Linked DNA regions of Drosophila melanogaster. The protein of the gene in region 1 interacts with the protein of each later gene in a pairwise test. Each region holds a gene or a part of one and is shown on either strand. Other genes may lie near its edges.

The links. The genes of interacting proteins can lie anywhere in the genome.
Region 2: the proteins of PAN3 (region 1) and eIF4E3 interact in a two-hybrid assay, tested with the Drosophila melanogaster proteins (2 studies listed by BioGRID).

The regions. Positions count from the first base shown.
Region 1 is NT_037436.4:3,068,562-3,076,218, reverse strand, and holds the start of PAN3 (Poly(A) specific ribonuclease subunit PAN3), read right to left. Parts: upstream 5,087-7,657; 5' UTR 4,912-5,086; intron 3,673-4,911; exon of another isoform or gene 3,459-3,672; intron 3,139-3,458; 5' UTR 2,775-3,138; coding exon of another isoform or gene 2,741-2,774; intron 1-2,740. Other genes in the region: CG32486 (uncharacterized protein), read left to right, coding at 5,680-6,057. UniProt on the Drosophila melanogaster protein: Regulatory subunit of the poly(A)-nuclease (PAN) deadenylation complex, one of two cytoplasmic mRNA deadenylases involved in general and miRNA-mediated mRNA turnover.
Region 2 is NT_037436.4:8,226,045-8,232,564, reverse strand, and holds eIF4E3 (eukaryotic translation initiation factor 4E3), read right to left. Parts: upstream 3,342-6,520; 5' UTR 3,184-3,341; coding exon 3,132-3,183; intron 3,067-3,131; coding exon 2,808-3,066; intron 2,742-2,807; coding exon 2,667-2,741; intron 2,613-2,666; coding exon 2,513-2,612; intron 2,450-2,512; coding exon 2,362-2,449; intron 2,305-2,361; coding exon 2,144-2,304; 3' UTR 1,997-2,143; downstream 1-1,996. Other genes in the region: CG7213 (uncharacterized protein), read left to right, coding at 409-601.

The sequences.
Region 1 (7,657 bases):
TAATTGATACAACTAAATTTAGCGGCGTAAACAAAGGCTGTGAGAAAAGCACCGAATGAACGGAACGGGGAGCGCTGATGGAAAAGTTATTCGCAGGCAATTTCCGTGAAATGTTGTAAACAAATAGGCGAAGAGCGGGCTTCCTGTCGCGGCAGACAGAAAATCCGAGAGTAATCAATCGATAGTTATGTTTTTTTATTCCAGCATCTATAGTTAGCTCCCGCACACTTTTCCCAATGTTTTCGATACACTTTTCATGTCTCGTGCACTTGTCGCACAATAAAAAGCGGAAGAACAAAAGCAAAAACCTTTTTCGAATCGTTAGGCAGTAAAAAAGTTGATAGAAATAAAATTAAGCCCGGCTCGATATTTATTTCTTTTTGTTTATGTTTTTTTTTTTTGCACAGATGAATCGACGGTCGGCAGAAAGGGGGGGCTTTTAGTTGGTGCGTCAATAAAGTTGAGCGAAAATATTTGCACAGCGTTCAACCGACGAACAAACGAGGCGCTTTCCTTTTGTTCTTCGCTGTTTTATGGCTCATAAACAAAGGCCCAAATTGAATGTTTGGCGATTGAAGCCCAGAGAGCTGGAAGGAACTGGCCAACAGCTGGTCTGGAGACCCCATTAAAGATGGCCATACACACAGAACCAGTTGCTCGCCACTTTTTCATGGCAGACGAAACGTTCTAACGGCACGAAAAGGCTTAAATAATGGTCACAAATCATGAAGTAAGACGATTCATAATACCCATAACTGTCCGGTATTACGTATAAAATATGATTTTTGGGGGCTTAAATGCAAAATGTGGACATCTTTGGAAGTTCACTTTGCTTTAATTTTTATGCCACATTTAAAATCACAAGAAAAAGATCATGATATCCTGTTTAAATGTAATTTGATGCTTTTCCTGTATTCATGTGGACTTTTCCGGTTTCTGGCAAGGTGTTTCCATCCGCTTTTGGCCAAAAAATTAAAACACATAAACAGAGAGACTGCCGAGCTGAAGATCTCCAATTTCGTCTGAGCCTCTCTTGTTTACGCTCGGCCCAATCGGCCCAAAACAAAGGAGGGACAAGCGAAGATGGAAGGAGCGAGTTGGTAAACCAGTTTTCCACCGCACTCGACCAGAACGGACGCCGTCGGAAAAGGAAGCGGAGAAGAAGGAGTGAGTGGCAGGGCCATCAACAGGTAACCCAGTGCACCTACAGGCCACGCAGCACCATCCAGAAGTAACCAGCGCCATCATATTGTACCATTGTCCATCCTATCAGCATCATCGTATCACCAAAGTCAATGTGTTTCCGTCAGCTGCCGTTGGCCTCAGCTCAGCAGGCCAGAAAGCCAGAAAGCCAGATGAACCGAAAGCTCGAAAGGAGCTGCCATTGTTGATAGCGCTGTAATTCTGGTTCGCTGTTGTTTTGATCGGTCTGAATTTTGGGCTCTGCAAACGGGTTTGCGAGTGCATTCATTCAGCCCAGCCAACCCCCTCTGCCACCTATTACCAATTTACTTAGACTGCTTGGTTGTTGTTATACCCTTTCTTGTAATTCGGAGATTTTAACTTGGCTAAGATGGCTTAAAGCCATCTAGCTTAATCCTTCGATCCCAAATTGGTATTGCTACCGCTTTTTATTATTCGTGCAAATTATTTTTATTGAGAAATGTGAAACAGAATCTACTTGGTAAAGAATGATTGTGAAAAACACCCTGAATGTCCTAGGACATCCTGTACAATATCCTTTCGACGATCAAATATTTATGGTATAATGGGATAATATGTTAATGTTACACTGTACAAAGTCACCCTAAAGAGAGTATCCCAAGCTTCAGTGCCCGTTGGAAAGCAGCCTTTGTGCTGGTCTCATTGTTTTGGCTCTGGTTTTGGCAAAGGGCAGGGAAGCGAGGAAGTGGTTTTTCCTGCCGTACCTGTATGAGTTTCCCTGTCTCGGCCTCTCTATGACCATCTCTTTCGCAGGACAAAGAAAATGCATGAGGAGAATGCAGAGTGTGTGGAACTTGTTCCTGATCCCAGAGGGGTTGCAAGGAGCAGTAAATGGGAATCTGAGCGTTTCCAGGAATAACAAAACGATAATCGATGGTATTGCAGCGAGGAATGTACGTAATTAAAGGGAAGTGTATAGATTGTTTTGGGGCAGATTGATTATGCCAAGATTCTCTGTTCTAGGCCGCTACTCCATCCCGTCCCTATCCCTCTCTCTCTCACTCTCGCATTCTCTGCCTACTTATCTCCTTCGCCTCCTTTGTTCCTCGGTCACGTCCATGTAATTGCCAATAATCACAATATGCGCTTCGGTAGGAAAATTCAATTTACATGCCGCCAGTGGAGAGAAAAAACAAGAGAGGCGCAGAATTGAATTACAGGATGACCCCGGTGAGAACGCTTATGAAATATGCCAAAGGTGACTTTCAATTAAATGCCACCCAGCCAGAGGCGTGCGAAGGATTTAAAAAGGGGCAGATAAAATAACGTACTAACCGATCAATATAAGAAAGCTGATCTATGATTAATCACTGAGTTAAGCTCATAAACATACCAATTTTATTATTACAATCATAGAATAACTATGTATATGAACAACTTGTTTGATGGGGGGGTCATTTCACCCCGCCAACCCCTCTCCAATACGCTCCTGCCACCAGCTGTGGTTCTGCTCTTACGTTCCCTGTCTTTGCTTGTGTTTGATTTCCTTTGCTTTTCTGGCTTTGTTTTTGCTTACCTGCCGGGAAGAAATTGTTCAAGAACGTTGACATTTTTCTCTTTCGCTCCCGCCTTCGCCAATTCCTCGTGCGCTCTCTTTCTTTTCGTGGTCCTTCTCGTTTCGTTACGCTTTGTTTTTGCGTTTGTTTTCGTTTTAATGTGCACTGAGTTAAAAACTTTTTCTTGGTTTTTTCGTTTTGTTTTCGATTTTTTTGTAGTTCTTTTTAATAATTTTGTAGAAAATATTGAAACAAAAATTTAAATAATACATACAATCCGCGCTTAACTGCTAAGTTTCAAATAACACATTTTCACATTGTACGTTTCGAAAATATTTTTTTCTTTCACTTTTTCACGTAAGTTTCTTGCAGTTGAAATGCATTTTCGGGCAAATGATTAACAATTGAGGCGCGTCGACTGTAAAAAGCGAGAAAGAGAAGAACATTGAATTAAAATAAGTAACGGTAAGCGAAAAACAGTTGTTTGTTTTTGCAAAACGGGGCGACAAAATGAAATCCCGAAACGCAACAGTGAGTGGGAGTGAGAGGGCGGTATAGCTTGGATTTCATTAAATTTTCCAAAGTGAGTCTGTGTGGGTGTACGAGGACGCTTTTTCCTACACATATACAGACACAATTGCGCGCATATTTGCTTACGTTTTCCACACTTTTTTTCATTTCGCACTTGGTTACTCATATTTTTAGAGTTTTATATTTAACACCATCCAAAATACATACACACTGAACCTAAGCCAACATATTGTGTAGTTAATTGCCTGTTTCATTGTTAGCTTTTGAATTGCTTTCAGTACCGTAATTACTTTAATGAGGATATTTCCTTGAAAGGAGCTGCTGTTGCTATATTGTATACATTTTCATTACCATTTTCCAACGATTTTGCAAATAAGAAAAACGCAACACACACACCGCGCGATTGGCGCTGCACGAATGAAGAAAACGCAAAGAAGATCCAACAGCCAAGCCAAATGGAGTCCACAAACGACCCCCGAGTGTTGTATACATGTACGTCCGTCTGTGTGTGTGTGTGCACAGGAGGTCGGATAAAAACAACAACTGCCAGCTGTGTGTGCAACAAAGTGGATGTGGATTCCATTCGAGGAGTGTTGGGAAAACATCCGCGCTCAAGGGGTTACATGGACTTTAGCTATTGTTAATAATTTTAATTAACATATATATCATTTTATGCAAAGAAATTTAACAGATTGTATAAAGTCCCTCATGTTTTTCAGCTGATAAATGCTGGATATGAAATACGTATTCTTTCAAAGAGAAATCCTTTGACACGCTACTGAAGTTCCATTATTGAATATAATGTAATAAAATAACTTTTAAAAATGGCGAAACCCCTTTATGGTATTGTAACACTTCACCTTCAAGTGGCCAGGACGTTTTGCAGAAACCCTAGCAATTGGCGTTGTTATACACACATGCATATATACACAAAATAAATACATATACATATGTAAGTTTTTGGCTGGGGGGAGTTCAACAGGACCCAACAGCTGGCCACAGGTTGCGTTCCACATAGAGAAATGTGGGAGCCTGGGCTCCAAACGCGATCCACACTCCAGCCATATTTGTGGAACGCGACAAACAGCTGGCTAGGAAAAGGGGAAGAGGACGCAAAGGGGAAGGGAACGAAAAGAAGGGGAAGAGAAAAAGCAGGAGCAAAGGAAATAAGAACACATATGTATACGATTTGTTTTTTGAGTGGGAACAGCTGGAAATAATTAACTAAGTTCACTAAGCAAGCCAAAAGCCAATTTATAAGTGTAGTTTTGTTACAACGTTTTTGGAAATATTTTTATTTTAATTTTCAAAAATTTTCATAATAATTGCACGTGAATTAAAAGTCAATTCATTAAGTTTTTATTTTCATTAAAGTTTTTAATTCACCACCGAAAATGAAATTGAAGCCATCTTGGTCACCAAATTTTTAAGACGCAATTTGTCCAAATGGTTCTTATAACGCAAGCCAGATAGCAAATACGTATAGTTTTTTGTTCAACACGCCAACGATTTGTTTTTGTTATTTTTCAAATTGATGCCGCTGTTGCACACACACACACAAACACAAAAAATGCCAAACACACAGCGCACAGCGAAGTGATACAAAAATGTCTGCTGAGAAAACTGCGATTTTTCGCTCTTTAATCCACGTTTTCCGTACCTCCACTGACCAGTCATAGTTCACTTTGCGAGAGGTGACTTCATAAAGAACCTGCCGTTTGTGTTTTGTCAAACTTTTGTACATTTTAAAGACAAAATCACAATATTTAATTTCTTACATGTTTTCCGTTTGCCGCAAGCAGTGTGACCGCATCTCGCGAGTGACGAGTTCCGTACTGCCGGATATAAGGGCAGCACATTAAACACGAATGGATTCGTTTTCAATAATATACTTGTAAAATTATATATATGAAGGCAGATTTTGCTATATTATTTTAATGCTATTTTATTTTGAAATGGTTAATTTAATAATATTTGTTATTTTATTACTTTGTAAAGGGGATGGTGTCCCTGCTAACGATCAACCAGGGCTGGAGAAACACAGACAATAGAAAAACATCGATAGGCTTTGCCAATAACATCGATACGTTATACTAGTATTTTGCCTAATATAAGATTTGGTCACACCGCACAACACTCTCTAGAAAGACAACAAATTTTTTGGCGAGCGGACGTGTCGGCGGACAAAAAGCTTGCAAACAGAACAGAACGGAAGAACACAGAAGAGAACGACACGACACGGACAGCGGGGAAAGGTGGCAATTGAAAGAAAGTGCCATACTTAGTGTGCGAGCGAAAGAGAGAGAGAGCAAACTGGGTATTGCTTGTGTGTGTGTAGTAGTTTAGTGGTCGTGTGTGTGGGAGTTTGTGTACGAAGCGAGTGGCAAAGAAAAACACAACAAACATTATTCCAAGAAAATTTCCAATCATGTCGGTGGAATCCTCCAGTTCGGCGGTCCAACAGCCGCCGTCGTCCTCGAACCTACCGCTCCTGGGCGACAACCAGGCGGTGGCCACGACCAGCTCCGCCTCCTCGGCCTCTTCCTCTTCCACATCGTCGTCCTCCTCGTCGGTGGGCGGCGGCAATGTGGTGGGCGTGCCGCTGGACACGCAGGGCAGCGGAGAACCGCCGGCCAAGAAACAGTTGTTGGACGGAGGGGGCGGTGGTGCCACCAGCAGCAGCGGCAGCAGCTTGCTTTCCAGTGCCGCAGCCGCCTCGGGAATGCACGAAAAGCTGGCCCACCGCATCTCCAATGCCCTGTGCTGTGCCGTCTGCCTGGATTTGCCCAAGACGGCCATGTACCAGGTGAGTTTTTGGATTATTTACAGCGGCTTGAACTATAAGCCCTTGTAAACTAGAATCAAAAAAAGGAAGTAAGAGCTTTAAAAGCGAAAGAAGAAAAACAGCAAGTGCGCGTGTGTGTGTGCGCCTCATTCTGTATACAAACAAATCGTGGCAGCTCAGCTGTAAGAGTAAAACACCTCTCTCCCTCTCTCCACCCTAGCAAGACACAGCTGTGCGAGAGCGAGACGTCTAGCTGGGGCGCTCTTGCATTATTCGCCTTGAAAACATTGAAAGAGTGCGAGGGGGAGCGAGGGCGGGAGTTAAGTCCGTGATCGAGGGTGGAGCCTTTTGTGAAGATATGATGTGTAAATGTATGAAGGTTTTTAAGTTTCAGCAGATAGTTGTAGTGTGAAGATTTCCAATAAAGAATACGACTGACTTTCTTGAAGTTCAAAATCAGTATGAAGTTTATTGTCAGAGAGTGGCTACTCGAGTCCTCCGTTTTCGTCTTATACATAAGTACATAGGTTCTTAATTGTAAGCATAATGAACATGCCGACTCGGCATGTGGCTGGCTAGCTGGGGACAATGTTGCAGTGCGACTTTTGTGTAATGTCAGCATTCGGCCGGAATGTCAGCATTCGGCCGGATGCGGTGTTCCAGTTGCCGTCTTCCCGGTTGAGTGTCCGATGATTTGTTTAGAGGCGTGGGGGTTTAGGGGGTGGGGTGGTAACTCCTCCCCCCCCAGTTCGAAGTGACGGCCATAGCGAAGGTATGGATGACGCGTAGATTGGTACGTGATGATCCTCGTGGATGTGGACGATGTGTTTCGTTCGTCGGTGCAGCCATAAGATGACTGCTAGGAACGTTACCAATCCGAGCAGAGTGTAGAGTGTCCAGGTGTGCTGTATAGTATTGTGATGGACGGCCAGGATTTTATCCATTGTTTGGGTGGCTTCGAGGTGCAGTTTTTCTAGGCTTAGTACCGTAATAGTGGTATTCCTAGTTACTTTTCGCATGGGGGGAAGATCAAAATCCGTCTGTTCAGGGAACGTGTCAACCGTGCCGTCGTAATCGATACCGTTAATCTGTATTGTTTCGTTAATGTATCTGATGATGGCTGACCCCATTATTGAGAGCTCGGAGCCGTTTGTTAGGGATACCTTCAGTTTGTTCACGTTGAATGCGAAGATGTAACCTCTCTCTGCCTCGAACACGTCGGTGATGGGGCCGGTTTCCCGTACATCGCAGGAACTGTTTTCTCCGTTCAAAAGGTGTTCCAGGCATGTGTTGTTCTGTGGTGTATCAACGTAGAAGTTCTCGTCGCACAAGAATGTATTATCCAGTTTGGGGCATTTACGGGTCATATGAAATTTCTTATTATTAATATTATAAGCTAGGTAATTTGGGGTTATTACAAAATATGTGTTATTTATTGGTAATGGAACTAGTCTGGCGAGGGTATGAAAAGGTTGTTTAAAAATTGGGACTTTGATATTAAAAATAATCTTTTGTTCGTAATTTAGTGTATTCATTTGTAGGAAATTGTATATACTTTGTTCATTTTTGACTGTGATATTTTGTTTTTCCAGTATTGTTTTTATTTTATCCATTTCTTGTT
Region 2 (6,520 bases), 5.2 Mb from region 1:
CTGAGGTGGCAACTTTAATCAAAAACTAATTATGACCGACAGGGAAGTCCGGCGTGTCTGTGTGTGGGTGGCTGGGTGTTTTATCTGGTAAATTACATTTGAATTATGACAAGAACGAAAACGAAACCCCCAACGCCAAAAGTGATGTGCAGCAAATGAGCTAAGCGATGGCCAAGTGAAATTCGAGTGGCGCACGTTGGGCGAAATTGTGGGAGTTTGACCATTACAAACAGATCGGCCGCAATTTACGCAACAAACAGCGAACTGAAAATTGGAAAGACGCGACGGGCAGGACAACCGCAGGACCTCCAACTGGAGGTATAAGGAGCTCCGGGAGCTGTGAGCTAAGCGGCAACTGGAGACCGACAAAAGTTTATGTGAAAAACAGACAATTAATTTGTTTTGCAGCGCAAAAAGGACACGAGGACAACAACAGGACTCGGGCGTCGAGGACACAGGACACCAGCGGACAGGACACCAGCGGAGGGCCAAACAATTTCGTGCTCGTTGGCAAAGGAAATTTACGTGCCAAAGACGATTGGGAGAACGCAGCTCTGTCCCAAAGAAGTCGAATCCGGACCAACAGGACGGCACAGTGTAAATGGTCAAACATTTTACGCTTTTTGTTTAATTAAAATTGCAACAGGCTACGTAGTTCTCATTGCAGCAACAGGAGGATGGCAAAGAAAATCCGAAAATAAAAACACTGAAAAATATTCAAATATATGCTACATAGTTATTTGGAACTCTGATACTCATCGAAGATTTTTATTTATATTTTAAATATTTTATATAAATAATATTATTGTTGGGCGAAGAATGTACATATCAAGTTGATCGTGCTTTATCTATAACATTTTTTTTTTTACAGTGCAGCCAAGTCAGCGTTTTTCAATTAAGCTTGCATTTCATTTAATATAGGAGAGAAGTCTGCAACATTAGTGCTGCCCTTTGCCGGATATTCTCTGTTTGTGTTTGTCCAGTTATCCTCTATTTGCTTTTGCCGTTGCCAAAGGAAGGGGAATCCCCCCTGGCTGGCTTTTGTTTCTTTGGCGAAGAGAGAAAACCTTTTATAGCGGTTATTAAATTGCTCTTTAAGTGCTTGGCACGGGGCGTAAGCTATTTGCCCTATCCCAGGTTGTTACCTGTTACCTGTCCTCCGCATCAGTTGCTCCTCCAAATCCGCGTACGTGTTGGCATATCAATTCACATTACGGTCCGAATAACTGCATGCATTCATCTGCGCCAAGGAATCCCGTTCATATCAAGCAGGATTCGTCCGGCGGCGGGTAGGGAGAAGAAAGAGGGTGACATCGCCGGGAGGTTGGACAGGATGTCGGAGATACGCTGCCATTGGCACTGACATAACCCCATGTGCAGTGTATCACGTTCCAGTCATTTGGTGGCTGCCACTTCATAATTCAATAAAACAATAAAAGCAAAATCCTTACAAATTACAGCAATCAAATCATACGACTTACATGGGCATCAGTGATGACAATTCAGGGTCTGAATATTTTGCACTTTCAAATATCATTTAGTATGTGAGCAGAAATATTATACATATCATAGGTGCTGAGATTTCCAGGAATACCGGCAATACTATCTGAAATATTAGTTTTTGGAATATGGAATATATATATATTTGGAATATAGAATGAAAAACCTGCTAGGAGCACTAGCAGCACTTCCCTGGAAATGGAGGATATTGCGCTTCCCGAGCATATTTCCATAAATTGGTCACAATTTGCTATGCGCAGCAGCACGGAAGACAAAAGCCCTGAAAGGACGACGCACACACATAGGAAGGAATAAGCACTTGGCGCGCGATGGCAGCCGTTAAAGGATGGGCAGAGTCACCCAAAATTATGACGCCAAGGATAATCGTAGTGAAGCGAGTATGTGTTTCCCACTCCGCCGGGGAATACGTGAGGCGACTATAGTAGCCTCGGGATACCGGCACACGAATCGTGGCCAGAAAGTAGTTACTGTTTCTACTGCTCTACGCAATACTTTATTCATGGTACAACCGATATCTATCTCGAAAAGCATTGGTGCGCGTGGGATAAAATGTGAGTTTGACAAATGTATAAGGCTTATGTACTATCGTTGGAAATGTACTATGGCGCCCTTGGAAATTGGCCTACAATGTGTAGATGGCATTGACATTGGGTCCATGGTTCACCATGGCATCCTTGTGCACCTGGTACTGGATTTCCATAATGCCCAGATGCAGCAGCTCCTTTATCTGCCTGCCAATGGACAGGATAGCCTCTACATTGCGAGAGTCCTTCGTCCAAAGGGCTGTAAAGAAAGTTGACCTTAGAGATACCCCAATGTGAAATGCTGTCTTATACCCACATAGCTTATTAGCCTTGTTGCGCACATTGATGACCACTCCACATATCTCGTCCGAGTGCTGGAAGCACTCGCCAATCATGCACAAAAGCTAAAGGAGATAATGCTTTATAATGCATTGAGCTTATAATTATGGTGCAATCATGTGGCTTACCAAATCGTGCCACATCTTATCTATATAGGTCCTGGAGGCCTTGTCCAGGAGCAGTATCCAACGACCACCGTTCTTATTGGTGTCATCCTCCCACATGGGACTAAATATTTATATACATAAGACGAGGTTCAAAGAGCAGACTTTCAGAACTCACCGAATATTTTTCTTGAAGACCATGTAGTCATTGAATATCTTCAGATCCGATGGCGGCTTCACAAAGTAGTACACACTGTCGAAATAGAATAGGATATATATATATAGGATATATATATATATATATGAATCTGTGTCTGACCTGAAGAAGTCCTCAACGGTGTTGAAGCTGGTCACATCGACGAGCATTTCGGCCCAGCGCTTGGTACGATCGTTCTCCAAGTGCCACAAAGTCCAGGTATGCTCCAATGGATGCTTCATGGCCAGGTCGTAGTCGATGTTTTTCATCACCCGGTTCAATGAGGGCTGCAACTCCTCCTCATTGCCGCTCATCAGTTCCAAACCATCATAAACTGCCAGACCATGTGACCAGTCATTGGGATCTCCATACGGCACCCATGCTAAATATATTCGATTCGCATATCGAATGATGAATCGTAAAAAAAAAGATCTGCTGTCAGCTTACCAGTTTCCTCAGCATTCTGCAATCCGTTGCTTACGTAACCGGTGTACACCATTGTTTTTTATTGATTCAATGCGATAAACGAACCTTTTTTTGTTAGTTTTCTCGTTTTATTTTACTAAAAAAAACTCCTTGAAATGGTATATGTCTCGTGCAAAGTATAAGCGTTAATGAAAATGGCTTAACATGAGTGCACACTTTGACAAATCAAGATATGACAGCTAAAGCGTTGCCACCTTGGTTATGAAAAAGTATTGGAAAAGTCATGTGACCATCTCGTTGCGTAATATGCTTATTTTCAAAAGACTCTATCCCTTTATCGCCTTTATTATTTAAAATATTTTATGGTACATCCTGCCATTATTTCATCAATAAATCTTGTATCCAAGTCTTAAGCACCCCATTCAAACACTCCGATATTGCAGCTCCCATTCGCACATTTTGGTTGCAAAATCAAATTGAGTCGGTTAAGTACGAGCCCGAGGGTCTATCAATTGAAATGTCACGCTAATAAAATAAAATGCCACCGAGCATACGATAAATGCACGAAAATAATAAAATGTGACTCAAATGAGCGACGACGACAGCAACCACAGACACAGACACGGCCACACAAAGTTGGCAGCCGGAAAGACGGATACGATTGGGAATGGAACTGGAGCGAGTAGAGGAATCCCCCTTTCTTGTCTGCTCTGGCTGCTCCTTGTGCAACAGTTTGGCCTGCAGTCAATAATCGAAATCGACTTGGGCTTGTGGCAATAAAAATTTGTCTTCGCCGCTTAAGTTGTGCGCCTTGTTGCACACACAAGGTCCTGGGTCCCTCCGTGCCGGAGTCCTTTGGCAAAGCCCCACACCTCACCCCTGCCCGAACCCATCACCACGCCCCTGGCGGCGGTGCAGATAATAAAATATGTGAGTCGCTACGTGGCAGCTCCTTTGGCGTTGGCAAAGTAGCTTTGGGCCCTTGTAATGTGCACCATTTGTTGCGCGGCTGGTGGTGCGGTGGCACCAACTTGCACTCCAACCAAGATGCTCCGCACCAGCTCCATCTCCGTTTCCATCTCCATCTGCTGGATGCACGGGTGAGTTATGCCGGCCAAGTTTGGAACAAAAGTGTTGGCACTGCTCCTTGTTCTTGGTTCTCGCAGCCAAATAAGTTGCCAGCCCCAATTTACTTAAAAATTCTATTTATTTTTGCTTTTAAGCAGCTTTGGCGGCTGCTCCAGCTCGTATTTCTGGGATTTTTTGAGGAAAAAACTGCTCCAAATTTGTTTCGTTAATTGGGAGAATAAGTTAAAACAAGGAATTGTAAAATTTTAGAAAGTGTTTTAATATCTAGACTATCTTAACTTAAAGTACATTTTATAAGCTCGTATCGCACGTTATTCCCTTCCTCTCTTCACTTAAACAATAGATAAAACTTTTTCAGCTACTGCTGGTTTTTAATATTTATATTTTTTGACATGCCTGTTTATTCCTTGAATCCCATAACTAAAAATTACCTGCTCCAAATGGAGTTGGTAGCCCATAAATTCCCGAGAGGGAAAACTTTAGTTCCAACTCTTTTTTTGGGGCTTCTCCCCCATTCGAGTTAAGTTGCCGGCAAACGCTTAGCTATGCTTTGTTAGATTTGACTTTGTGCTCCGCTCTTCTCAGGTGGCACTTTGGCGTATACGCAATATTTTACAGCTTTTTGCACTTTGCTGGCTGAGCTGAAAATACATGGTCAGTAAATCTTTTAAAATATTGTAATGTTGAGGGAGTCTATGGGGGGATGGCTCCCGCACCAGCTTAAGCGATTTGAGTGCCGAAGCAGTAAAAACGCCCACAAACTGCCGGGGAAAACGAAGGGGAAAAGCGCGTAAATGGGGCAAACTACAAGAAGAAGCCAAGGATCCAAGGACTCAAGTATCCAAGAGCTAGGACCTCATCTTGAGGCAGTTCTGTGCAGACAAGCGCATGCAAGAAATGAAAATGATTTGAGGCATTATGTTCGCTCCGGTTTTACCCCGCCATTTCTCGTTTCGCTTCCGTTCGGCTGTCTTTTCTTCTTTTTTTTTATTTGTTTTTTTTTTTTGGCTACAAAATTGCTTTGCTGCTGCTTCATGTTGATTGTAAAAGATTTCAGTGCTGAAAGCACAAAGCATGCGATGATGTACGGAACGACGCACGTCGTACATTTTGCACCTTGAAGTGGCAAGCGGAGGAGATGCTCTCCTCCACTCCCGCTTCTCCGCCCCATCCACTGCGGGCAAAGACAGCCACATAAAACAATAAAAAGCAGTGGTAAGTGTCGGGGATGGGTAGCGACAACACATCCTGCACATCCAGCACCTTAAGGCCAAGCCAACTGACAGCAGCTTCCGGCAGCCCCCAGTCCGTCTGCTCCATCTGGCCCATTTGCTTCAGCTGCCACGCCCCCAGTTGTCGTTTGGCCCTCTCACCTGGACAAAAAGATACAGGTGTACGAGGCTTAAGTATTGCCACACTAGAAGTGAAAATTTTAGTGGCTCTAGAAAATAGTTATTGATTATTATGCCAAATCATTTTCATGTTTGTTTGACAGAATAATTTCTTTACATTTGACCCAATTGTATTATAAATCATTAAATTATTATTTTTAAAATTTGATAATGTGTTGTGCTATCTATTTATTATGGTTGGATGTAAATATTATTGAACATGTAATTTTTATTTTATTTTTTAAATATTATATTTGATCAATATAATATGAAATATTAATATATTTGATTAATATATTGATTATCAAAATTATCCAGCTGAGCCTCTCCTATTATTTTGCCCATGGGTGTCCGTATATGTGCCTCTTTGCAGTGCTAAATACTTTGGACCAAGACGACGCCTCTGGGCGCTGGCTACCCCGACTTGGAGCTATAGCTTCTATATCTTTGAAGCCGCTGCTCGAGGCCAGGTGAAAGTCATTTCACGCTGTGTGTAGCGCAAAAGATTAAAATAATAGCAGCGCGTAAATTAAACAGTCCGTTGGAGCCGAAGCGTAGGTGCCAGATGGGGGATTTTAAAGGGCAATGGAAAAAGGATGCGGGGACATGGCAATGCTGAGCCATTGAAGTGGCAGCCATGGCCACCTCAACCCAACCCACCTCATTGCATCCCTTTGTTTAGGGCTGCGGTCTGCGCTAAGACGCTTACCTGGCGCTCCCCCCGCCACAGCCGCATCCTGTCCAAAACTCCGCACCCGACCTCCTGTCCTCCAGGACATTGCCAGCATTGCGTTGTCAGCACTTCATTTTGATCCAACATGCCGCGTGCTTCACTTAATGCGTCGACTGCCAGTAAGCCCGCATTTCAGAGGGAGTTTGTGATGGGTGGGGGTTGGAATGCCATTCGGGTGGAGGGGATAGCTTGGGTTC